Linked DNA regions of Arabidopsis thaliana. Each later gene encodes a partner of the first gene's protein in a complex. Each region holds a gene or a part of one and is shown on either strand. Other genes may lie near its edges. The genes, in order: FIE, VRN2, VEL1 and MSI1.

Region 1 (6,178 bases):
AACACTTTTCTTTTGTAGGGAATTTGATAATATGAAATGGATAGATTTTACTGCTTAATTTTTAATCATTTTTTATCAGAAACTTTTTCGTTTTAAATCTACGGCTAGAATTTTCGGTCGGTTTTATACTTTATATAGATGCTAGATTTTTTTCTTCTAGTCATCGTTTATTAGTACAATTTTGTTTTTATATATTGATTACTTGAATTTATAATAGGATTGGTACAAAGGTGGTAATTATAAAGTGCATTTTTTTGGATATTGTTCAATTCAAATATTTTTACTTAGATTCTCAAACTATTGAAAAATATCCAAAATATCCGGAAAATTTCAATTTAATCGAATAAAAAAATTAGAATGGAAAGAATAAAAAATTATCGGGTACAATTAGAAGAGTAATGTGTTTAGTTTGGTTTTTACTCGGATACCAGTTCAGTTTTCACGTATTATTCGATCCTATAGGAGCAATTGTGAATTAGTTGTGAGATTTTGGGAGCATTCGCTTCCAGAACTTAGTGCTAGGAGAAATGCTATTTTCCTATAAGAGTTGTACGAGGAAGCGAGCAAGTACACAACAACCACAAAAGCTTTCAATACTTGTTTACTCCTAGGGTTTAAAACTAGAGGTTCTATAGATCTCTAAATTTTTTTGAACAAATGTGTTTTCCACACGTGATATTCTACAATACCACTCGAAAATTATCCATAATTGCTTTAAACTATTTTTTTGTTTAAATTATATAATTTGTACCGTTGTAAACTGATTATTTCAAATTATAATTAAAGCACTATAATTTCATATATTACATTCAACATATATTAAAATAAACTATAACCATGTATTTTTTTGTCTTCCTTTCCTATAAACATTGATTGGACTCTATCGTAAATTTTGTCGTTATCGCAAATTTTGTCGTTATCGATGAGTTTCTCAAAGTTTGGACCTTGATTATCTTGTTTGGAGATGTTCAAATCGTTATATCCAAATAGTGAACTTCTAATTTTCTTTTTTGATAATGTGACTTATTTGGAAAAGTATTCCAAAGTATTCAAATAAACCCTTTAAAAATCCATTAAATACATTTTAAATAAGTAAAATGCTCTCAACGAAGAGATATCATGGTAAATAACAACAGTGAGAGGATAAAATGTTAAATCAATTTATTTACAACTTCAAATAGGCGGACATCAAACCTACTTAGCACACTTTCTATTTTCAAATTGGTTATGGTTTGTCTATTAGTTGTTGCATCTATGTTTTTTAATTCTTATATCGGTGATCTTGATTTTGTTTTGGTGTATCTAAAATCTATTTTAGTTAAAGTGCAAGAAAATAAAATAAAAACTTAAGGTAAGAGATGAAAGTAAGCTTTAAATAAAACAGAGCACTTCTATGGTCGATTATAGAGCCAAGTTCGTTCCTCCATTTTGGCTTAATGCAATATTACAAGTAAATCTTATAAAACTTTCCATAAGTATCGTATTACCCATGGATACTATGATATATAAACTCTCGGAGGTGTAGTCCAGAAGAAATGATCCATATTTGCATACAGTAAACTTGATGGAAAAAATATGTGGTACTGTTGGAATTGTAGCTATTGAGTATCAAATTTGAGAAAAAGGTAAAAAAATATGTAAAATTTGGGTGGAAGAAAAGAATTACATAAAATTGAGAAATGTATGTAATTGACAAAATAATGTTTTCAAAACATAAAAACGTGATACCATTTAAATCCAAACCTTATATCATTTAACCATTTTTAGTAAAACTAATAGTAATGAATGGTCAATAATATAAGATTACATATTAAATAATTACTACTTTCAGAAAATTTCAATCAAATCTATAATATTCCTTTGAAAAAAAAGAAAGACAAATAGGTAAACTTCGATCGTATCAATCAAAGAATATATTTATTTTTCATCGTAACGTTTAATTCTAAGTCCTATTAAAAAACGTTAAATTTGATTTTTCTTACCATTTTTTTCTAAAAGGTGAGTTGTGTGTTGTGTCAGGTCCAAAATAAAAGTTTGTCGTGAGGTCAAAATCTACGGTTACAGTAATTTTAATAACCTGTGAATCTGTGTCTAATCGAAAATTACAAAACACCAGTTGTTGTTGCATGAGAGACTTGTGAGCTTAGATTAGTGTGCGAGAGTCAGACAGAGAGAGAGATTTCGAATATCGAATGTCGAAGATAACCTTAGGGAACGAGTCAATAGTTGGGTCTTTGACTCCATCGAATAAGAAATCGTACAAAGTGACGAATAGGATTCAGGAAGGGAAGAAACCTTTGTATGCTGTTGTTTTCAACTTCCTTGATGCTCGTTTCTTCGATGTCTTCGTTACCGCTGGTGGAAATCGGGTAAAAGATCTCGACTTTCAATTCGAAATCACTGTTTTCAATTCTGGGTCTGTTTAGGTTTTGATTCAGATTGATTGTAACATTAAGGCCTTTCCTTTTGTGTTTGATTTTGGATTCTGATTTCTAGCCTTTAGTGAGATTAAAAGATTGAAACTTTGCTTGATGCTATAGTCTAAGATTATGTAACATTTAGTTCAAACTTTCTGGTTTTGGAGATTTTGTGGAAGATATGGTTTTTGTTTTCTAATTTAAAGTGAACTCATTACCTTATACACTTGATTTGCATTCTGTTCTAAAAAAAATTGAAACTTTGGTTGATGTTGTTAGTCTGCTTATCTAAGGAGGTTCCTTTTGAAACGGTCATCAAGTGAGTTATGAAGCGTTTAGTTTAAGCTTTCCTGTATTGGAGATTTTGTGGAAGTTATTTTTTTTTCTAATTTTGAAACTAGATAGAGTGAAGTCATTACCTTATACATTAGACTGCTCTATTTTGTTTTCAATGTGGGTTCCGAATGTACCTGATAGTGGCTCTTTAGGCTCATTTGTATTCGTCGAAACATCGATCGGATACCCGTTTGGGCTTAGTAGGCTCTGATACCGCGTAAAGTTCTCGGGTTCCATGAAAAACCAATCGGTAATGAGTGGAGTTAATTTGTAATCGTCTTCGGTCGAGCATTTGGGATTAGTGGGCTTTGATACCATGTGAAAGTCCTTGGGGTCCAATCGGCAATGAGTAGAGTTAACTTGTAATCTTACACACTTGGTTAGGTCTCATTCTCTTTATAATGTTGTGTGCCTAACAGTTTCCGCACTAAGGTTGTTTGGTTGCTCAGTCTCAATATACTTATCTTAACTAGTTGTAGTTTTTTTCATCTTTCCTAGTTTCCGTTGGATTTTAAATTGAATGATTTACTAGTTAGAAATATTTGAGTTTCTCATAGAAGCTTTAACCAAGGGGTTCTTTCATTTAACCTTTACTTAGCTAGTTCATGAATCTCATTACTGCCATTGGTGTATCTCTTATTATGTAGATTACTCTGTACAATTGTCTCGGAGATGGTGCCATATCAGCATTGCAATCCTATGCTGATGAAGATGTAAGGAAGCATACATATTAGCTTTTCCATCAAATTAAAGTAAGTGATGTTTCACTGAGGCCATTTGGTTATATTTTGTCTATGTCCTCTGGAGAGCAGAAGGAAGAGTCGTTTTACACGGTAAGTTGGGCGTGTGGCGTTAATGGGAACCCATATGTTGCGGCTGGAGGAGTAAAAGGTATAATCCGAGTCATTGACGTCAACAGTGAAACGATTCATAAGGTATTATTGCATTTTTATGGATGTTCTATGTATCCTAGCAAATGATTCTATATCTTTCTTGTATAATCTGTGCTCGCAAATGTGCAGAGTCTTGTGGGTCATGGAGATTCAGTGAACGAAATCAGGACACAACCTTTAAAACCTCAACTTGTGATTACTGCTAGCAAGGTATATCTCTTGGCTTTCTTTTCTTCCTAAAGTATCCTGACTTCTTTTTTATTTGTTGGTGATTAAGAGCTGTTACGTTTTAATTGAATAAGGATGAATCTGTTCGTTTGTGGAATGTTGAAACTGGGATATGTATTTTGATATTTGCTGGAGCTGGAGGTCATCGCTATGAAGTTCTAAGTGTGGTGAGCCAATATTGTTTTATCTAATTCAGTTAGTTTTCTACAATAATATATAGAGACAATGTTAAGGGGAACCATCTTATTTTGAAAATTGTAGGATTTTCATCCGTCTGATATTTACCGCTTTGCTAGTTGTGGTATGGACACCACTATTAAAATATGGTCAATGAAAGGTACGATCGAGCACATATTGTAATAAACTTCCATTTTAAAAAACCTTTTGAGAAAAATGGCTTGTGGTTCGTTTGTATGATCTTCTTATTCTTTGGCTGTCTATAGAGTTTTGGACGTACGTCGAGAAGTCATTCACATGGACTGATGATCCATCAAAATTCCCCACAAAATTTGTCCAATTCCCTGTAAGTATTTTGTTTTAGCCTTGTCTTGTAACAACAAGTGACATACAAATATTGGTGATGGCCTTTGTAAATAACATTACTTCTATATGTAGGTATTTACAGCTTCCATTCATACAAATTATGTAGATTGTAACCGTTGGTTTGGTGATTTTATCCTCTCAAAGGTTAGTAAGTCAATGATGGTTAAGATTAATTCATTTGGTGTACTGTTAAAACACTTTACTCTTGTGTTGTTCTATCGGATTTTAGAGTGTGGACAACGAGATCCTGTTGTGGGAACCACAACTGAAAGAGAATTCTCCTGGCGAGGTTAGGATCTCATTGTTGCTCCAAACACAACATAATCATTCATTTCATCACATATATTTACAGTTGAACTTTTTGTGGTTTGCAGGGAGCTTCAGATGTTCTATTAAGATACCCGGTTCCAATGTGTGATATTTGGTTTATCAAGTTTTCTTGTGACCTCCATTTAAGTTCTGTTGCGATAGGTAATCAGAGAGCTCGTTAGATACAAATTTGCATTCTATAGATAGATTACTTCAACTTTTCTTATTCATTTTGTGACAAATTACTCGCTGGTTTGTTATCAGGTAATCAGGAAGGAAAGGTTTATGTCTGGGATTTGAAAAGTTGCCCTCCTGTTTTGATTACAAAGTAAGTTAGTTTCGGATTCAGATACAATGTTTGATCTTTAAGAAATGTTTTAGTCTTGACATGATTTTCTGTTGCCATATAGGTTATCACACAATCAATCAAAGTCTGTAATCAGGCAAACAGCCATGTCTGTCGATGGAAGGTATAAATCCATCTTCTCTCTCACCAATGCAGTGAAAATTTCTTAATGTTATTTATGACTCAATAGTTACTGTAAATCAAACCAAACTTTGGATTCTGACACACTGTTTCTTCCATGGGATTGTAGCACGATTCTTGCTTGCTGCGAGGACGGGACTATATGGCGCTGGGACGTGATTACCAAGTAGCGGTCTGAGTCTTGTAGGAATTGATGAATTAGGAGTGCGAAGAAATGAGATATCCATTCTTTTATTGTAATTCTGATCATGTTGCTACTCCCTGAGACCTTGAGATGCTCTTTGTAGCCTTGTTAACGTCCACCCTTGTACCACAGTGTATACCCTTTCTGGAGATTTTGTCTTATTCTCTTAGTTCAATACACAAGGCTGTATCCTGGAGCTTTATTGCAGGAACCACTCTCTTTCATAAGCTTTCTAGTATTCAAAGCATTGTCCCATGCTCCATTAGCTGCATACACACTGGCCAAATTGATGTAATTGACTGGTTTCCTCGGTTCCATACTCAGAAGCTGCGTGGCTGCTACTTTACTGAGCTGCACATTCCCATGGCGCCTGCATGCATCAAGAAAAGCTCCCCATGTTGATGAGCTAAGACTTACAATACCCTCTTTACTTCTTATCAGTGCATAAGCTTCTTCCAAGTAGCCACTGCGCGCAAGCATATCTATGATGCAAGATAAGTGCTCTTCTCGAGCTTCGATTCCGTGCTTGTTGATCATTGTGTCGTAAATCTTCCAGCCTAGTTCGGTTTGTCCTGTATGACTACAAGCAGAGAGGAGAGAAAGAAATGTAACGTCATTCGGTTTGATCCTTTCATGCTCCATTCTGTTATAAAGATCAATTGCTTTCTCAAAATTCCCATGTCTTCCATATCCTGCAATCAAAGAGGTCCATGATCTCACATCTTTCTCTTTCATCTCTTCGAAAGCCAGGACTGCATCCTCGATTTCCCCAGACTTTGCA
Region 2 (6,264 bases), on another chromosome or scaffold:
GATCCTTTGAACCAAAAATGTGCATTGCGAAATCAAACAATTCGAGAATCAACTAGAAGCAATGAATCCAGAACTATGTTTTATTACCTAAACCATCAATCTTTTAACAAAAACGTAAATTCCGATTTCCGATCTACTGCTAAATCCCAACTCTTACGAGAGAACGGGAATAATTATGTTAGTCAATTTTATCACTTGACTCCGATCTAGTTTGAAATCGAGACAAACCTGAAAGATTCGAAAACACTGATTGGTGGTGTCAAAGCAAAATCGAAGAAGCTTGCTGCTTGTGAGGGATTCATTGAGAAAGAACAAGTCAAAATGGGGTTTTAAGCTTAATCACTGTGTCTTAATTAATTTCTTGATTTGTTTTCAATCTATTTGCACTTAATATATATATTTTTATGTTATGTACTTGATTAATATATAACTCCTATTTACTAGAGGTCTAGAGGAGCTTTTTCTCAAGTCAAAAAGAAAAATTAAGGAAACTTATCTTATTTTTCAGTCTTTAGTTATTAAGGAGAATCCATTTTTTTAACTAAAAATGTAATCAGTTGAATACACTAACAAATAAAATCTTTGTTTGCTCCTAAACAATTTTTTTAAGAAAGAAGAATAAGTTACAATCCGATAGATCGGTATCATCTAAACCGGAGTGTTTCCTATTTAATTACTTGTCTCTGCTGTTATTGTCCTTGTTGTCAACATTGTTCTTGTTTTTTATGTCATTCGGATGATCCACAATGTTATTGTTGTTGGTGTTTGAGTCACTGGGATGATCCACACTGTTGTTGTTGTTGTTAGTGACTGAGGTATTACGGCAATTCTCGAGGATGGTATTGCAGTTGTTGATGGTGGCTGAGTCGACAAGTCCATGGTTCCATAGTTTAATCAAAAACAATCTCCAACACCTGGAATTTTTTATTTTTCTTTCAGAAAAACGAAACAAAATTGATAGTGTAGTTATGTGTCTGTATATGTTTGGTGTACTTATATTACCAGAAGAGTGATGAGTAACAGTGCAACTCTTTCTCGTAAAATCTTGAAAATACTTCACATGCCCAAGAGATATGACCATCTGCTATAACCCTGCAAACATCAATCATAATTTGAGCTCAAAGTTCCATAAGCAGAATCATTTAGACAGGTATGGAATGTAAGACATAAGGTCTTTTTGTGTGTGTTCAAGTGTAAGAGAAGTAGTTACCTTTGTTTTCTTACAAACGAGTTCCAAAGATGCATGAATTGCTTTTCATCTTTATTCACATCCACAAAGTCATCAAGCATCTGCAGCTTTTTTAAGTTTCAAAAGCCATTAGCAAGTTACATCGTATACCATTTTCTGTTGCCTACTTAATGAACGCAGAAAGAAATCATGGAATACCTGGCGATCTTCAAAATCTGCAACATCGTCATCGACTTCATCCTCGCTATCCCGATCAGACATTACTTGCTCAAGCGCCATTGGCTTGTCACAAGAAACATGCAGTTTTTGGTTAGTGGCAATAAAACGGAGACAACATGGACATAATTTTTTTGCGTTGATACATACAGAATCAAAATACAAATTTAGATGAGAACAAACCAAGTATGCTTTGATAAGATATCATCATGAGCAATTTAAAGAAAATGCCTAAGAAGTAGGTGAAGGAACTTGGATCACCTGGACTCTGTGAGAATGATAGAATTGGCGTTTCTGAAGAAGTAGGTGGCTGGAAGAAATTTTCTCGGTTAATATGGCAGTACAGTAAACACTTATCCATAATAGGAAGAACATTTGTAACAACAGGTATGGTAATTATGATGACGGGGTGTCATGATGAACAAACCTTCTAGCCTCTGATCGCTCAGCAGATAACTTTCTTGTCTTAGTAGCAGGGACCACAGCTTCGGTTGTTAATATAACTTTAGCACCAGCGTCCAGAGAAGAGTGGGCTATGGCTGGTGGAATGTTGCTAGTCATCTCAAATTGTCCAGCAAGCTCTGTTGCCTCGGGATATCCTAAACCACGGTTTCCTGTAGCATGCCATTAATTTTGTACATCAGTTCTGGTAACATTACCCTCACAAGAAGAATGCGAGGAGAAGTACAAAAACTAAACAATCAGGACATTGTATCTTCTTCTGTAAAATGAAGTTCTAAGCCACAACGAATACCACAGAAGAAGATGTGATTTTACCATCATTCAGCAGGGCAATTCCATTTTCTGTGCCATTAGCTAAACTGGGTGAATCCAACGGTAAAAAGCATACTTTAAGTCTCCTGGTGTTATTTCTGCCACCTCTTTGTCTACGCTTACGAGGTTTCGAGCTGCAAAACATTGTGGTTGGATTTATAGAGAAGTACTGACAAGAAAAGCAAGGAGTTACTGCTATTAAGGTATTTAATCAAGGGGTTCTGAGAGTTACCAGAGAGAGAAGGGCTCAAATTTATCATCATCACTTCCTTCTTCCTAGTACAAATAAGGATGGAATATAAACCAAATTTTCACCAGCTATAGGATTTCCCAATTAACCAAGTTTAAAGTAACTGACCTCAAATATGAAGGAATTAAGTTTTACAGAAACATTAACTGTCTGGTATTCTTCCAAAAGCTACAATAGGAAAGACCCTTTTTTAACTATAACCTCATTACTAACGGCATAGGCAAAACAAGAAATTCCATAAAACCACATACCTTGAACTCAAATTCAAATAAATCATGAGATGAATTCAAATGAAATTGCAGCCCCTGCATAGACACAAGACAATGGATTGTAAGCTCGAACTGGAACATGTTTTCTCAGATAAGCACACACTCAGCAGTTTAAAAAGAGCAAGAAGACAAACAACAAACACAAAAATATGTAACCAAACAGTGAAAGTATATAGCATTAAACGGCAGTAGCATTTCACAGTGTTAGATATGAAAGGCCCCGGAAGAAACCTCAGTTGTAATAGTTGCCCACCTTGAAGCTACCACATAGCATAGAGCAAAATGGACAAGAACAATCCTCCCTAACTGCGTGACAATACAGAAAAAAATAGTAAATAACAAATCATCTAGAGAAACATAGACATTGACATCGAATTTTGTCGAAGAACAGAAAAAGACTAACCTTCAGTTCTTTGTAATGTATTATTACAATCCTTATAGTTGAAAACTACCATCCCAGTAGATCTTGACCTAAGCAAAACACAATTTTGTAAAATATAAGTGTATAGCATGAACAAAGAAGAAACCATTCATTATGTCCATATCTACTCAACAAAGATAAATAGTTCATCAGCTTCCATATTAGAAGTAAGATAAATAACATATCACTGTGGCAACTACATTCAAGAAGAAACGCATACTTTCTTTTGCGCTTTGCCCCAATTTTGTAGTTCAAGCATCTTGGCAGAAACGATGGCTGCAACAACAAACAACAAGTTCAAATAACATTAGGAGACAAAAGAAGCACACACTCGCCATGAGTCAGACCATAATCAGCTTAGCAAACTCAAACTATTAGTGGGTGATCTACACAGGAGATGAAAGATTACTAAGCTAAAATGATGAGAGAGGAAGGCCAAATCATACGTTGCCTAGAGAGCGAAGGTGAAAGATGTTATATAGTCGAACAGGTTTACAATATATCAAGAGATTCTCATCAGTTGAAATCACTTCCTCCGGTGAGGATTTCGCGCGACAATTCTGCCTACACATTCTTGTTCAAATACAATCAACAACGTCCAGAGCTGATTATGAAGTTAGTGCAAACTCTGAGGCCTCCCCTAAATTAGAATTTCCCTACGTCATATTGTTCAACTCCATGCAACAATTAGAACCGCCTCTTCTGCAATATGCTTATATAGAATGTCTTGTATTGAGGCCTGTGTAATAAAGAAAGCACAAGACTTTTTAAGCAACTCAGAGAGTTCATTCAAGACATAGACAAGTTTAGACGTATTGCAAAAATGAAAACTTTATCCAATGCCACTTAGCAGAATCATCATACTTATCAAATTAAAATAAAATTATGTGATCTTTTGAACCAAATGTGTATGAAGAAATCTTAAAAAAAATTCCATCGAGATCAACGATTCCAGAACTAGAATACGATTCCGGATCTACTGCAAAATTTCAAATCTTACAATATAATTGAAACAATTAGGGTTATCAATTGTTATTACTTGACTCCGATTTAATTTGAGATTGAGACAAACCTGAAAGCTGCGAAAACACCGATTGGCCGTGTAAGAGAGAGAGCAAGCAAAATTGAAGAAGCTTGATTGGGAGATATTCACTGAGAAAGAAAACAAGTAAAAATAAAACTTTGGGTTTCAAGTTTTTCTTCAAGTCTGGGCCTATGGCCCATATTTTAAACCGATAACCATTTAACACGTATTATTATTAGTCAATAAATAGTTGAACTTTTTTTTTAATTAATAAAATGAAAAGAAAATACAAGCAACTTGGACAGCTTAATGCCTTAATCCACTAATATTTCTAAAATTGTTTTTTTAACTCTACCATGGCAGTACAGTGAGTATTAGAGGATTTAAAACCATATTCACCATTGATCTATGCGTGGAGGATGAAGAAATTAAGAATCATTGATCTATACTTTTCACACTAAGAATAGAATCTTCATGACCTTCAATTTTGATTTCCATTTGTGTTTTACATAAATAGTCAGAGTTTAAAATAAATTACTGAATATGTATTTTGATTCCATTGTTTAACTCTAGTTGAGTTGGCTAGCTGAAACTCACAGGAACATATAATCCTAAGGTGGCATTAAGTTGAAACTAATCTTTTTTTCGACCAATAGAATGATTAATGGATAACCATCAGTGTTTTCTACTTGAGTTGTGTGATGTATATCACTGAAATATTAAACATACATTTCATGAAAACGAGAGATCCTTTTGTGTGTCTACAGAACCAAAAATTACAAATACGAATGGTTTGCGGCACAAAATCACCGGCGGTAAAAGAATTGTTTCCTTTCCCAAAACTGAATATGAGTTCCCATGGAGACAAGACAACATGTTGCTTTTGGAACTCAACTCCTTAACGCTGCTGACAAATTCCAAATCCATCACCGATTTAGTATTATATGAACAAATTGAAACCATAATTCAACACAAGATTCTAACGTTGCAGAGACATCTCGATCCTCATATCCATATGAGTCTTTGTAAAATCCCTAATTAAGTTTCACAGATCAATTATGGATTCATAGAGATTGAAACAATTTCTCGGCTTACCTGAGTAAGAGGAGAGCCAGAGGATTGCGACACAGAGAAGAAGAATGAGAGGAATCAAATGGATGACGTTTTCTGAAAATCTGAATCTTGATTTCTCTCTCTTCCCCGCTTGAGAATTCGGATCGTACCTAGGCAAAAGCAGCTCCACATCATCTTCCATTGCTGTAACACTCTGAGATCGAGGCGGAGACCTTGAAGTCGCCGGAAAATGATCCAAAACTCTAGAACCACTCGCTGATCTACGCATCTCTCTTCTTAACGGCAACTTGTCAAGTCAAAGGTCGAAACTTTACCACACAATAACGCATATAAATACAGTCAGGTTTGACCAATGAGAGAGTCAAAGCTCTTCTCTTTTCACCAGTAATCGCCACAAGAGCAAGACCCATCTTTGAAATGGTGAAACCTTGTGGTGTCTCTTACAATGATCTCTCGTTTCTCTATCTCCGAGATAAATTTGATTGCTTTATGACAATCACCACAGATTCTCAAGTTCTTGAACACTTGTATCTGTGAACCTTGAGGGAGTTTTATGCAACCAAATGCAACAGCTAACTTCTCGCTGTGCCATAACAATAGCTTCTCTTTTTGCTCTTCCTCTACATTGTGTAAAGCAAACTCTAGTTCCGGTTTGTATCCAGCTAGTTTCATCTTCTTCTCCAACTCCTTCAGTTTCTTGTGTATTGAGTCTAGTTCAGGGTGAATCCGATCACTTGATCTGAAATGGTGAACTTTGTTTCGTATTTCGATCCAACTGTATCCAGGTACCTGAAACAGTCAAGTAAATACATTAGAGTCTTGTAACTCGAATAAAGAATCGAACTTTGACTCGCTCTACCTTCACAACATTGCTCTCTTTCATTCTCTTGCGAACCCTTGCAACGTCTTCCCAACGATTCTTCGATGCGTAGATATTCGCAAGCTGCACATACCCGGCTGCATTTTGCGAGTTTAGCTGAAGCAGTTTCTCAGCTGCAAATTCAGCCAATTCCACATTCTTGTGCACTCTACAAGCCCCTAAGAGCG
Region 3 (6,119 bases), on another chromosome or scaffold:
GCACACCGAACATAAAAAAATTGATCTAAAATTCTTGGACGCTTTGATTTTGGCTACACCGATTAAACATGTCAATGAAAAGTCAACGGGATTTTTGGCTTACACGTACGTAGGATCAAACAATTTTTTAGACATAACATATTTGTCATTATTTTGAATCTTAAGAGCTGTTAATTTGAAAAATTATAAACCTCACTTTTTCAATATAAACATGTATGTTATCCGTACTAATATTAGCTAGCTTTTACTATGGCATAGCTATAGATGATTGCTAACTAGGTTAGGTGGAGATTCAATAACAACAAATTAAACGATACGAAAGAAGCATGACCATGTACTTTACTTATCTTCATATGCTAGCTGTTGCTAATTATATGTGTTTCATTTATCGTCTTTACTAATCGCTAAGTCTAACGTACCATATATTACATATTTAGATCGTAAGTTTCATGTCCAGTACCTTGATTCATGTGACCATATCTGTATACTAGAAACAGTTCGTCTGACGTAACATATTTTGGCATAATAAAAATTATGGGTACACGATTGTTAACCGATGTAAATACAAATTAATTAAGAGATGTAGAACTTTTAGACAATAAACAAAACATAAACGAGAAATAAACTACAGATACAGTACTTGAAACTCTTGAACTCTTCGTGATAGCTAGAAATAGAAATCTGCGTCTTCACAGTTGACAAGAAACCTAGAAAAACAGATTAGGTGTGCTATTAACGGTCAGATTATTCTTATATAAGTTCGATATGCGTTCTCGAATATTATTAATTTAAGCTAAACTAGACCCAAAACTCCAAAAGAATCCAACATGTTTATCCATATCTACCTAAGACTACTTGTGATCCAAATAATTTTCGAAAAACAATATTTCTGTATTGATAAATAAAGGTCAAATTATCAATTACCACTAATATATGTTTTTAAAAAAAAATTTGCTACAATGTTTTTGCAGGTGTACTGTGTTAGGCACATGTCGTTTTATACCCTTCAAATCCAAGTTTTTCCCGTTTGTGATGATAGCCAATGCTCCCGTAACACACACGTATACAAATTTGCCAATGTCTATCTAACACGTGTTATTACGCAACATGCTTATTCCAAAATAAACAAATTAAGATGAGATAAGTGTCACATAATTATACAATATGAAATAATATCAATTGCATACCTATTTTATATACGTGAGTGACTCGTAGGAAGTAGAAATCCTCTTTGTTTTATTAGGAGCATATATCTTCTCAATTTACTTTCTTTTCTTAACTCTCACGAATCCTCTTTTAATATTTTCTTAACTCTCACGAAAACAATTCCTTTTAAACTTTGAAATTTCCTTAAAATTGAAAAGTTCCTATATATGAAACTGAAACATGATATAATTGACCATCTTATATTTCACTTTCTACTATAAAACAATTCAAACTGTAAAAAGAAGAAGAATTTACTAATCAATCTCAAAAAAGTAAAATAAAATTTAAACACACAGAAAATTACGAACGTTACGAAACCAAAATCACAGAAATAACGTGAACATAAAAAAAGGGTAAAAAATTAAAATAAACTCTTTTTTACCCTTTTTGGGGGCCCACCAGAAAACTGCATCTCTTATAGGCCTCTCTCTCTTCCATAGACCCATCTTCTTTCTCTTTCTCTCTTCCTATCTCACAGCGACAATCTCTATCTCTCTCTATCTCTTCTCCGCTCACAGCGAATCTCTCTCTCTCTCTCTCTCTCTCTCTCTTCTCCGGTGTATTCCGTTCTCCGGGAATTTCTCCGAAGAGGGAGAGAGGAAAAAAAAAACGTCCGATTCAATCTCTTCGTTGCTCGACGAATTTTTCTTAAGCTTTCCTTATTGGGTAACTTTCTTTCCTTTTATACTTTTTTCCCGATCTCTCTCTCTCTCCTCTGTTTTATTATTTCACTCCCAAATAAAAGTTTTTATTTTTTTCCATTGTTTTACCTAATTTTTATGTTTTCTTCACATCGCAGAGATTTGAAGATTCTGAGTGGTTGTTATGATAATGTGGGTTTGATTAGTTCTTCACACACAGCTTCTCTACGCTCATGGATTCTTCTCTCGATGGTATTCACTTTTAGATTTCTGGGTTTCATTGGTTGCTTAAGATTTATCGATATCCGTGTCTCTTTGTTTTTCCCTATAATAATGTTTCAACTTTCAAAAATAAATAAATAGTCTTACTTCTCTTTGTTTTTAGCTTTGATGATGAATGATGAAGCTTTGGATTCTCAAATTTGTGTTTATTTTATTCAATTGTTTTCGAAAGTTGGAGACTTTATATACTTTTTACTAAGTTGCTACTGAGTTTAGATTACTAATCTTTCTATTTTCTATTGCAAGTTTTATGTTTTCTAATTGGTGATTATTCTAAATGGTGGGTCTTTACTTTTTTTTTGGTTGATTGGTTCTAACTTCATATTCTTCTGTGTATGTGTGTGTGTGTGTTTCTTCCACTATCATTGGTTTGATGAATTCTGTTTTTTAATTTAATCGTGCGTCAGAAGACTATATGACTTTTGTTCTGTGTATAGAATAAGATTCCATGATTGATGAATGTGGGTTCTGTTACCTAAAAGAATCATGCTTTCATTCTTTGCTTTGGATCTTTGGTTTCAGAATCATCTTGAAGAGCATTGATCTTTCCTTTGTCATGTTGTTTGGTTCTCTCTGATTCTTTGATGTCTATTGACCCAACCTTATCAACATTGTTGTCCTGTGGTGGTTGTTGAACTATCTTTGTTTTTAGATGAATAAAGTGTTTTAGTTTTCAGTATTCTAAATTAGCTTTGTGTTTGTATTTATTTGAATTTGGAATCATTCTTCTTAGTTTTGGTAAACAAGAAGATCAGACACAAGTTTCTTTGGTACATTCTTTTATTAGTCTTGGATAGTTTTGTGTGTTTCTGGTTAAGACATTGTTGTTCTCCATTGCCTTCACTTTGAGTTCACATAATTTGACTTCCTTTTCTTCTATATGCAGGAGCTGCAGGTGACTCATCGAAATGCAGTGAAATGAGTGTTGATGAGAAGAGACAGCTTGTTTATGAACTGTCGAAGCAATCACATCTAGCTGCTGAGGTCTTGCAGGCATGGAGCCGCCAAGAGATTCTACAGATCTTATGCGCAGAAATGGGAAAAGAAAGGAAGTATACTGGTTTGACCAAAGTCAAGATCATCGAGACCCTTTTGAAAATTGTATCTGAGAAAAACTCTGGAGAGTGTGAAGGGAAGAAGAGAGATTCTGATTGTTTGCCTATTCAGAGAAACACTAAGAGACAAAGGAAGGTTGATAATCCTTCTCGGTATGTGATTCCAGCAACCAACATTGTAACAAGCAACAATGCCTCAGGGAGCTGCAGCTCGGTTAATACTAAAGGTAAACAGTCTTCTTTTTTTGGTTCAAAGTTATCAACCTTTTTGTACATACTAACCCGGAAATAGAATTTGGTCAGGTGAGAGTACTACCATCTACTGCAAAAATTTGGCTTGTCGTGCTGTACTGAGACAGGAAGACTCGTTTTGCAGAAGGTGTTCATGTTGCATCTGTCGTAAGTATGATGATAACAAAGATCCTAGTCTCTGGTTAACATGTAGCTCAGATCCTCCATTTGAGGGTGAGTCTTGCGGATTCTCGTGTCATCTTGAATGTGCTTTCAACACTGAAAAATCCGGTCTTGGAAAAGACAAGCAAAGTGAGGGATGCTGCTTCTATTGTGTCTCTTGCGGTAAAGCAAACAGTTTGCTTGAATGCTGGAAGAAGCAATTGACGATTGCTAAAGAAACCAGAAGGGTAGAAGTGCTTTGTTACCGTCTTTTCTTAGTCCAGAAACTATTGAAGAGCTCAACTAAATACCGAAATCTGTGTGAGGTTGTGGATGAAGCTGTCAAGACTCTTGAAGCTGATGTGGGTCCTCTCACTGGTCTTCCTATGAAAATGGGTAGAGGAATTGTAAACAGACTTCATTCGGGACCCGATGTGCAGAAACTTTGCTCTTCTGCTCTTGAATCTCTTGAAACTATAGCAACTACACCTCCTGATGTTGCTGCATTACCTTCACCTCGCAGCTCCAAGATGCAGCAAGGTCAGAACTTTTGTACCCTTCAATGATTGAGTAATATATTAAGTTTGTTGAATAATGTTGATTCTCTGATTTTGTTTCGTAGATTGTTCTTATGTATTGAGCAATGAGATATCTGCAGATACAGCAACCACAGGATCAACCAAGATCAGGTTCGAGGATGTAAACGCGACTTCACTTACAGTGGTTCTCGCCTCTAATGAAATTCCCTCACCTCCAAACATCGTTCACTACAGTATTTGGCATCGTAAGGTACCAGAAAAAGATTACCCGGAGAAATCGACTTGCACATTGTTTATTCCAAACACAAGATTTGTTGTCTCTGGATTAGCTCCAGCTTCTGAGTACTGCTTCAAAGTTGTGTCCTATAGTGGAACCAGAGAAATGGGCGTTGATGAAATCAATGTTTTGACACGTAGCGCTGAAGAAGGAGCGAATTGCTCTTCGGCAGTGGAAAGAAGCGTAAGCCCTCTCACAAATTGCAGCACATTGTCTTCTAATCCTTCTTCTGTTGAAGCTGAGTCCAACAACGATTACATTGTCCCAAAGAAGCCATCTTCAAAGAACGAAGACAACAATTCTCCTTCAGTCGATGAAAGTGCTGCGAAAAGGATGAAGAGGACAACCGACTCAGACATTGTACAGATTGAGAAGGACGTTGAGCAGATTGTGTTGTTGGATGATGAAGAACAAGAAGCTGTTCTGGATAAGACGGAATCTGAAACTCCAGTCGTGGTTACTACGAAAAGTCTTGTTGGTAATCGAAACAGTTCAGATGCGAGTTTGCCAATTACTCCCTTCAGGTCAGATGAAATCAAGAACCGTCAAGCTAGAATCGAAATATCGATGAAAGACAACTGTAACAACGGTGATCATTCAGCGAATGGAGGAACAGAAAGTGGATTAGAGCATTGTGTGAAGATCATAAGACAACTCGAGTGTTCAGGACATATCGATAAGAATTTCAGACAGAAGTTTCTGACTTGGTATAGCTTGAGAGCAACGTCACAAGAGATTAGAGTTGTGAAGATATTCATTGATACATTTATTGATGATCCCATGGCTTTGGCTGAGCAGCTCATTGATACTTTCGACGACCGTGTTTCGATAAAGCGTTCTGCGGTTGGTGGTAGCGGTGCGTCTGCAGTTGTTCCATCTGGATTCTGTATGAAGTTGTGGCATTAGAGAATGGGAACTTGTGCTCTGTTTTTTTCAAGTCATTTTCAAAACGTTATTCTAATTATTGGGAAATTTGCATTATTGGAACATTTCCATGCAAGAACAGTAGTACTGTTGCTATCGAATAGATCGTCTTTGTCGGATTATTTATTTATTTTTAGTGGATTTGATTCCATTTATAATTTAGTAATTAGTCCTAGACTGAATTATTCTTATTTCGTTGACTATTGGATTATGTTATTTTATCAAGTAGGTTATGAAAATGACCATTTCTTTGTATGAAGCTGTGAGAACAGTGAAGATTTTAAGTTCTTTCGAAATTAAATTTGTTTAAACTTTATATTTTGTAAATAAAGCTATCCAACTTTATTGGAATTCGAAAACTGCAGTAACAAATGCAACAAACTAATACGTCATCGTCATTCATCATCACATAAAGGTTTTTGGTTTGATTATGGGTTCCATTAGTTGATTTAAGCACAAAGAGGTTGCAGAGACACTTTGTTTGTTTTCTCTAATATATACATCACATTTGTTTGTTTGTATACGTACATTCATAACAACAAGCAATGAAAGTATATATATAGTTTTATTGGGGTTCGTATCAAACAGATGTCAAAAAGCAGAACTAGTGTTGTGTTGAATTTTCCAAGCATCATCTCTTTGGCTTCATTGATCTTAGAAGCACGATAGTGACTTTCTCCAGCGTTCGGGTGGTTTGCAACAATCACTCTACATGTCTACTCTCTACTATCCTAAACTAGACGAACCACAGACTAAGTACAAATTATGAGGTTTGATCTCAAGTGTGTTGAACCAAATACCT
Region 4 (4,680 bases), on another chromosome or scaffold:
TAAAGTATACCAGTAGAAGCTGTTTTGTTTTGACATTTTGCGCAAAGGTTTGGAATCGACCAAGATGTCTTAATCTAGACTATTATTGTCCTGCTGGCTATGAGTCTAGATTAAAACACACAACAGTTTTAGAGGCTTGTTTTGTGATCGACCATTTTGTACAAAGGTATAGAATCTCCCAAGATGTTTAACATGGTAATCTATACTATCGTTGTCCTACTCACAATGAGTCTAGATCAAAGCTCGTATTTTCGCTAATTCATTGTTTGTTCTACAGAACTACAAATCCAAATAAATACTCGAATAGACATTATTTCATAGCAATTTTTATACATGTCGAATAAAGACTTCATTTCATAGCAATTTTGATACATGTTCCCGTAGTGGTACAACCAAAACAAAATGTGTTGGAAAGTTGGTGCCGCAGACAGCAGTAGCATAGCTCTAGCTCCCACGGTATGTGGAGAAAGAAAAAGGTGCAAGCAACAGTGGGACATGGAAATGCTCCCATTTCTGTGATTCTGTAACCTGAAATACAATGGAAACATAGGGAAAGAAGCAGCCTGGGGAATACTTTGCAGTGTCGAAGCTAATCCTATATGTCCCTGGATTCAAAGCGTCAACCAAATCCATCAGTGGCCCACTGCGCCCATCTCTATCAGTAGCTGATGTGCCCACACTGGACCAGACCCCACCACCTCCATGAACAAAGGAAGGACCGGTAGTACCACTCCACACTTCTAAGTGCACTTCAACACCTGCAGCTGGAGCACCACGTGAGACGTCTAAGACATGAGTCGTGATCGGTGGCCTACTTCTCTTGGGAGCTTTTGCTTCAGCTGCAACATTCAAATGCCCTCCAATGATTCTCAGACGATCTTACAAAGCGAGAAAGTAGAAAAGGTCACACAGATAACAAAGATAGCCATAAGGGTAAATCCTTGTATTCCAAAAGACACATACTTGATATCATACTGAATCCTAACAGGTTCAAACCCACACAGTCAAACACAAAACTTTGACAAGGAAAAGATTTGGTAAATCATCAATATACCTTGAGGTTTTGTTGAAACAGGAGAGCTAGAGCTGTCAGTTTCTGATATAACTTTAGCCTTATCGGAGAACAGCTTTGCCATTCGTAGCTCTGTTATTTTCATTTGTTCCATAGCAGCAATCTCAAGCTCCACTATTGGCCTATTTTCATACCTTTCCTGAAAAAGAGACGATTTGATGAATATGTAACTTTCTCATTCACTCACACTCAACAAAAACTGATTTGGAAATGCAAAAGTTGACCTTTAACGCATGGAGCATCTCAGCGTGAGTCCTGCCAGAAGCGCAAATAATGAAGATAAAGCCAAACTTCTTTTTGTAAAGTACATTCCATTCGGCAAGCTCCTAAGAAATTGAAAACAATTGATCATCAGAAGAAGAAATCACTGAAGAGATGAAGGAAAAAAAAAGTGAAGATCCATCACCTGTAAAGCAGAAGCAGAAGTTGTGGCAAAGGCGGTTGACTGTTCTGATACGCTCCGACGAGCAAAATCGGAGTTGATAGAAGGTGAAGGAGTATTCCCAATCTGAGGATGAGCAGAGAAAGCTTCAAGCCAATCTGTCACATTAACTTGGTTGAACCAGATGTCTCTTGCAGTATATATTGCTTCTTGAGAAGTTAACGGTCCAGACGTAGACATCTGCTTCGCGAATTCGGAGCTTCCACAGCAAACCTTCCATTCATCTTCTCCGATCTCCATCGCCATTTTTTCTCTCTTTTCTCCAATCCTCACTTCTGTTGACTGGTGTAAGATCAAAAGTCATCTAATTGGGCCTTTTCATAAACGGGCTTTTCAAAAATGGGCCTTTTCTTTATCTTCTTCCTTTTTTTATTCATCATCTTCTATATGTGAATTATTCAGAAACAGAAGCGAGAAGTTTCTTACAATTTGTAAAGAGATCTGTTTTAGGGTTTTGCCTTGTTCTTGTGGCGGGAATAACAAAGACATCGCCGATATGGGGAAAGACGAAGAGGAAATGCGAGGTGAGATCGAGGAGCGACTAATCAATGAAGAGTACAAGATCTGGAAGAAGAACACTCCTTTCCTCTACGATCTCGTTATTACTCACGCTCTCGAGTGGCCTTCACTTACTGTTGAATGGCTTCCTGACCGTGAAGAACCTTCCGGTAAAGACTACTCCGTTCAGAAGATGATTCTCGGTACCCATACCTCCGAGAGCGAGCCCAATTACTTGATGCTAGCCCAAGTTCAGCTTCCTCTTGACGATACCGAGAGTGAAGCTCGTCAGTACGATGATGACCGCTCTGAATTTGGTGGCTTTGGCTGTGCAACTGGAAAGGTGCGATTTTTTATTTTTGTTTCTCATTTCCAACTTTCTAGATTTGATTCTAGGGTTATAACGAGGTAAAGGATGATAAATGTTAGTTTGATTGCTTGTGTAGGTACAAATTATCCAGCAGATAAATCATGATGGTGAGGTTAATCGAGCTCGCTATATGCCTCAAAACCCTTTCATAATTGCTACCAAGACAGTTAATGCGGAGGTCTATGTTTTCGATTACAGTAAGCATCCATCTAAGCCTCCTCTTGATGGGGCTTGTAATCCTGATTTAAAGCTTAGAGGTCACAGCTCTGAGGGATATGGTCTCTCTTGGAGTAAGTTCAAGCAGGGTCATTTGCTTAGTGGCTCTGATGATGCTCAGATCTGCTTGTGGGATATTAACGCTACTCCTAAAAACAAATCTCTGGACGCTCAGCAGATTTTTAAGGTAATGCTTTGGATTTCTATTCGTTTTTAGTTTTGTTTTGTATCATCTAGAAAGGAAGGAATTGCACCCACTTAACGGAATCAGTTACACTTATGAAAGCTCATAGATAGATATTCAGGTTGGTTTCTGTGTTTTCCTTGCTGATGATTATTTTCTGAACTTAAGGCTCATGAAGGGGTTGTGGAAGATGTTGCATGGCATCTGAGACATGAGTACCTGTTTGGATCAGTTGGAGATGACCAATACCTTCTCATATGGGATCTGCGTTCTCCATCTGCCAGTAAACCAGTACAGTCTGTGGTTGCTCATTCGATGGAGGTGAGTTTGCAATATATTAGCTTTAGATACAGATAATACTTCTGGTTTTTAAGCTTGCTTTCCTTAACACTAAAAACCATTGAATCATATTGCCTCGTATGTATTTGCTAATTGTTGAGTTGTTTGAAATGCCTTAGGTTAACTGCTTAGCCTTCAATCCATTTAATGAGTGGGTTGTGGCAACAGGATCAACTGACAAGACTGTTAAATTATTCGATCTACGGAAGCTAAGCACCGCTCTTCACACATTTGATAGCCACAAGTAAGAATGATACGCCATAAATATTGCCGCTTTGAGATGGATTTTGTGTTACTAAGAAGTATTTACAAGTTACAGCAACATCACTAACCTTAATTATGTGCTTGATCTCCAGAGAGGAGGTTTTTCAAGTTGGTTGGAACCCAAAGAACGAGACTATTTTAGCTTCATGTTGCCTTGGTAGAAGACTTATGGTTTGGGACCTTAGCAGGTTTGGGCCGTAGACTTTAGTTCTTTAGTTTAATGTTCATGTATGGTCATGGAGGAGCAATATTGATATGTTTGAGGGTGTCTTATGATAGGATCGATGAGGAACAGACAGTGGAGGACGCAGAAGACGGCCCACCTGAGCTGCTGTTTATTCACGGTGGTCACACTAGCAAAATTTCAGATTTCTCGTGGAACCCTTGTGAAGATTGGGTTATTTCCAGTGTTGCTGAGGACAACATACTCCAAATATGGCAAATGGCTGAAAACATCTATCATGATGAGGATGACGCTCCAGGGGAAGAACCATCAAAAGCTTCTTAGCTTGTTATTTAGTATCCAAAGCGCACTGATCTTATGGGACAGTATTTATTTATACATCTCTGCTATTGTTTAGTTCAAGTATTTAGTGTTCATTGTGTAAAATGAGGCATGAGAGGATGGTAGCAAGTGGGAATTTTTCTTTATAACATGAAGGAGTTGATTCTAATCTCACTAAGTAGTGTCAACCAAAGCTATAACTCTTAGTTTATACCCAGATTGGGCGACATTAGAAAGAAATTACAAATTTGAATCAAAGTCTCTGACATAAAATTTCAAACTGAAAGTCACTTGTCACAATGGTCCTTATTAAAGCTACTGGATAGCTTGGTTTGATTTGATATTGATAAATGATAACTAGCAATCGAAAAGAGATCTGTATTGGGAAGCCTCGTCAGCCATCTCCTGAATGCTCCTATCAACCCGGTCTTTATCTAGATCAAGCTTCTGCTTCAGTTCCTTCTCCTTCTCATCAAGCTACAAGAAGATACCACCATAAGATTTGTATAAAACCAAAGCTAGGAATGTGATCAAAATGCAACAACTTACAGCATCATAGATTTCATCATTCTTCTCAAAGTCACCACCTTTACGAGGCAAGATATGAATGTGTACATGGGGAACAGTCTGTCCCGCTTGAGGGCCATCCTAAGCCATTTTCATGAAACCAAAGTTAGATCGTTTCAATTCCAATCCATTAAGATTTAGACGCAAGAAACAATGACGAAAGAAAGGAGATGTTTAGTTTACTTGGATGGCTAATGTGAGAGAAGACGCATTATGGAAGGTC

What was found.
Region 2: FIE (region 1) and VRN2 share a complex: the UniProt entries of both Arabidopsis thaliana proteins name them as parts of the plant homeodomain / polycomb repressive complex.
Region 3: FIE (region 1) and VEL1 share a complex: the UniProt entries of both Arabidopsis thaliana proteins name them as parts of the plant homeodomain / polycomb repressive complex.
Region 4: FIE (region 1) and MSI1 share a complex: the UniProt entries of both Arabidopsis thaliana proteins name them as parts of the plant homeodomain / polycomb repressive complex.

Annotation. Positions count from the first base shown.
Region 1 is NC_003074.8:7,248,269-7,254,446, reverse strand, and holds FIE (Transducin/WD40 repeat-like superfamily protein), read left to right. Parts: upstream 1-1,994; 5' UTR 1,995-2,192; coding exon 2,193-2,369; intron 2,370-3,212; exon of another isoform or gene 3,213-3,400; coding exon 3,401-3,466; intron 3,467-3,565; coding exon 3,566-3,688; intron 3,689-3,775; coding exon 3,776-3,856; intron 3,857-3,948; coding exon 3,949-4,041; intron 4,042-4,135; coding exon 4,136-4,211; intron 4,212-4,317; coding exon 4,318-4,397; intron 4,398-4,489; coding exon 4,490-4,561; intron 4,562-4,646; coding exon 4,647-4,706; intron 4,707-4,791; coding exon 4,792-4,888; intron 4,889-4,990; coding exon 4,991-5,054; intron 5,055-5,136; coding exon 5,137-5,196; intron 5,197-5,322; coding exon 5,323-5,383; 3' UTR 5,384-5,568; downstream 5,569-6,178. Other genes in the region: AT3G20730 (PPR superfamily protein), read right to left, coding at 5,569-6,178. UniProt on the Arabidopsis thaliana protein: Polycomb group (PcG) protein. PcG proteins act by forming multiprotein complexes, which are required to maintain the transcriptionally repressive state of homeotic genes throughout development.
Region 2 is NC_003075.7:9,474,135-9,480,398, reverse strand, and holds VRN2 (VEFS-Box of polycomb protein), read right to left. Parts: upstream 4,331-6,264; 5' UTR 4,192-4,330; intron 3,859-4,191; 5' UTR 3,692-3,858; coding exon 3,566-3,691; exon of another isoform or gene 3,396-3,565; coding exon 3,340-3,395; intron 3,170-3,339; coding exon 3,102-3,169; intron 3,005-3,101; coding exon 2,952-3,004; coding exon of another isoform or gene 2,930-2,951; intron 2,735-2,929; coding exon 2,681-2,734; intron 2,598-2,680; coding exon 2,538-2,597; intron 2,456-2,537; coding exon 2,412-2,455; intron 2,314-2,411; coding exon 2,183-2,313; intron 2,020-2,182; coding exon 1,833-2,019; intron 1,716-1,832; coding exon 1,667-1,715; intron 1,472-1,666; coding exon 1,388-1,471; intron 1,291-1,387; coding exon 1,211-1,290; intron 1,093-1,210; coding exon 1,003-1,092; intron 915-1,002; coding exon 674-914; 3' UTR 521-673; downstream 1-520. Other genes in the region: AT4G16840 (uncharacterized protein), read right to left, coding at 5,034-5,050, 5,239-5,485; AT4G16835 (Tetratricopeptide repeat (TPR)-like superfamily protein), read right to left, coding at 5,596-6,006, 6,077-6,264. UniProt on the Arabidopsis thaliana protein: Polycomb group (PcG) protein. Plays a central role in vernalization by maintaining repressed the homeotic gene FLC, a floral repressor, after a cold treatment.
Region 3 is NC_003075.7:14,786,032-14,792,150, reverse strand, and holds VEL1 (vernalization5/VIN3-like protein), read left to right. Parts: upstream 1-1,649; 5' UTR 1,650-1,872; intron 1,873-2,005; 5' UTR 2,006-2,080; coding exon 2,081-2,099; intron 2,100-3,015; coding exon 3,016-3,411; intron 3,412-3,487; coding exon 3,488-4,117; intron 4,118-4,199; coding exon 4,200-5,299; 3' UTR 5,300-5,619; downstream 5,620-6,119. UniProt on the Arabidopsis thaliana protein: Maybe involved in both the vernalization and photoperiod pathways by regulating gene expression. Binds preferentially to dimethylated histone H3 'Lys-9' (H3K9me2).
Region 4 is NC_003076.8:23,554,102-23,558,781, forward strand, and holds MSI1 (Transducin/WD40 repeat-like superfamily protein), read left to right. Parts: upstream 1-1,910; 5' UTR 1,911-2,010; coding exon 2,011-2,355; intron 2,356-2,458; coding exon 2,459-2,785; intron 2,786-2,950; coding exon 2,951-3,103; intron 3,104-3,240; coding exon 3,241-3,365; intron 3,366-3,477; coding exon 3,478-3,573; intron 3,574-3,664; coding exon 3,665-3,893; 3' UTR 3,894-4,144; downstream 4,145-4,680. Other genes in the region: TTL (transthyretin-like protein), read right to left, coding at 445-878, 1,055-1,211, 1,297-1,398, 1,479-1,760; FHIT (FRAGILE HISTIDINE TRIAD), read right to left, coding at 4,248-4,367, 4,440-4,538, 4,641-4,680. UniProt on the Arabidopsis thaliana protein: Core histone-binding subunit that may target chromatin assembly factors, chromatin remodeling factors and histone deacetylases to their histone substrates in a manner that is regulated by nucleosomal DNA.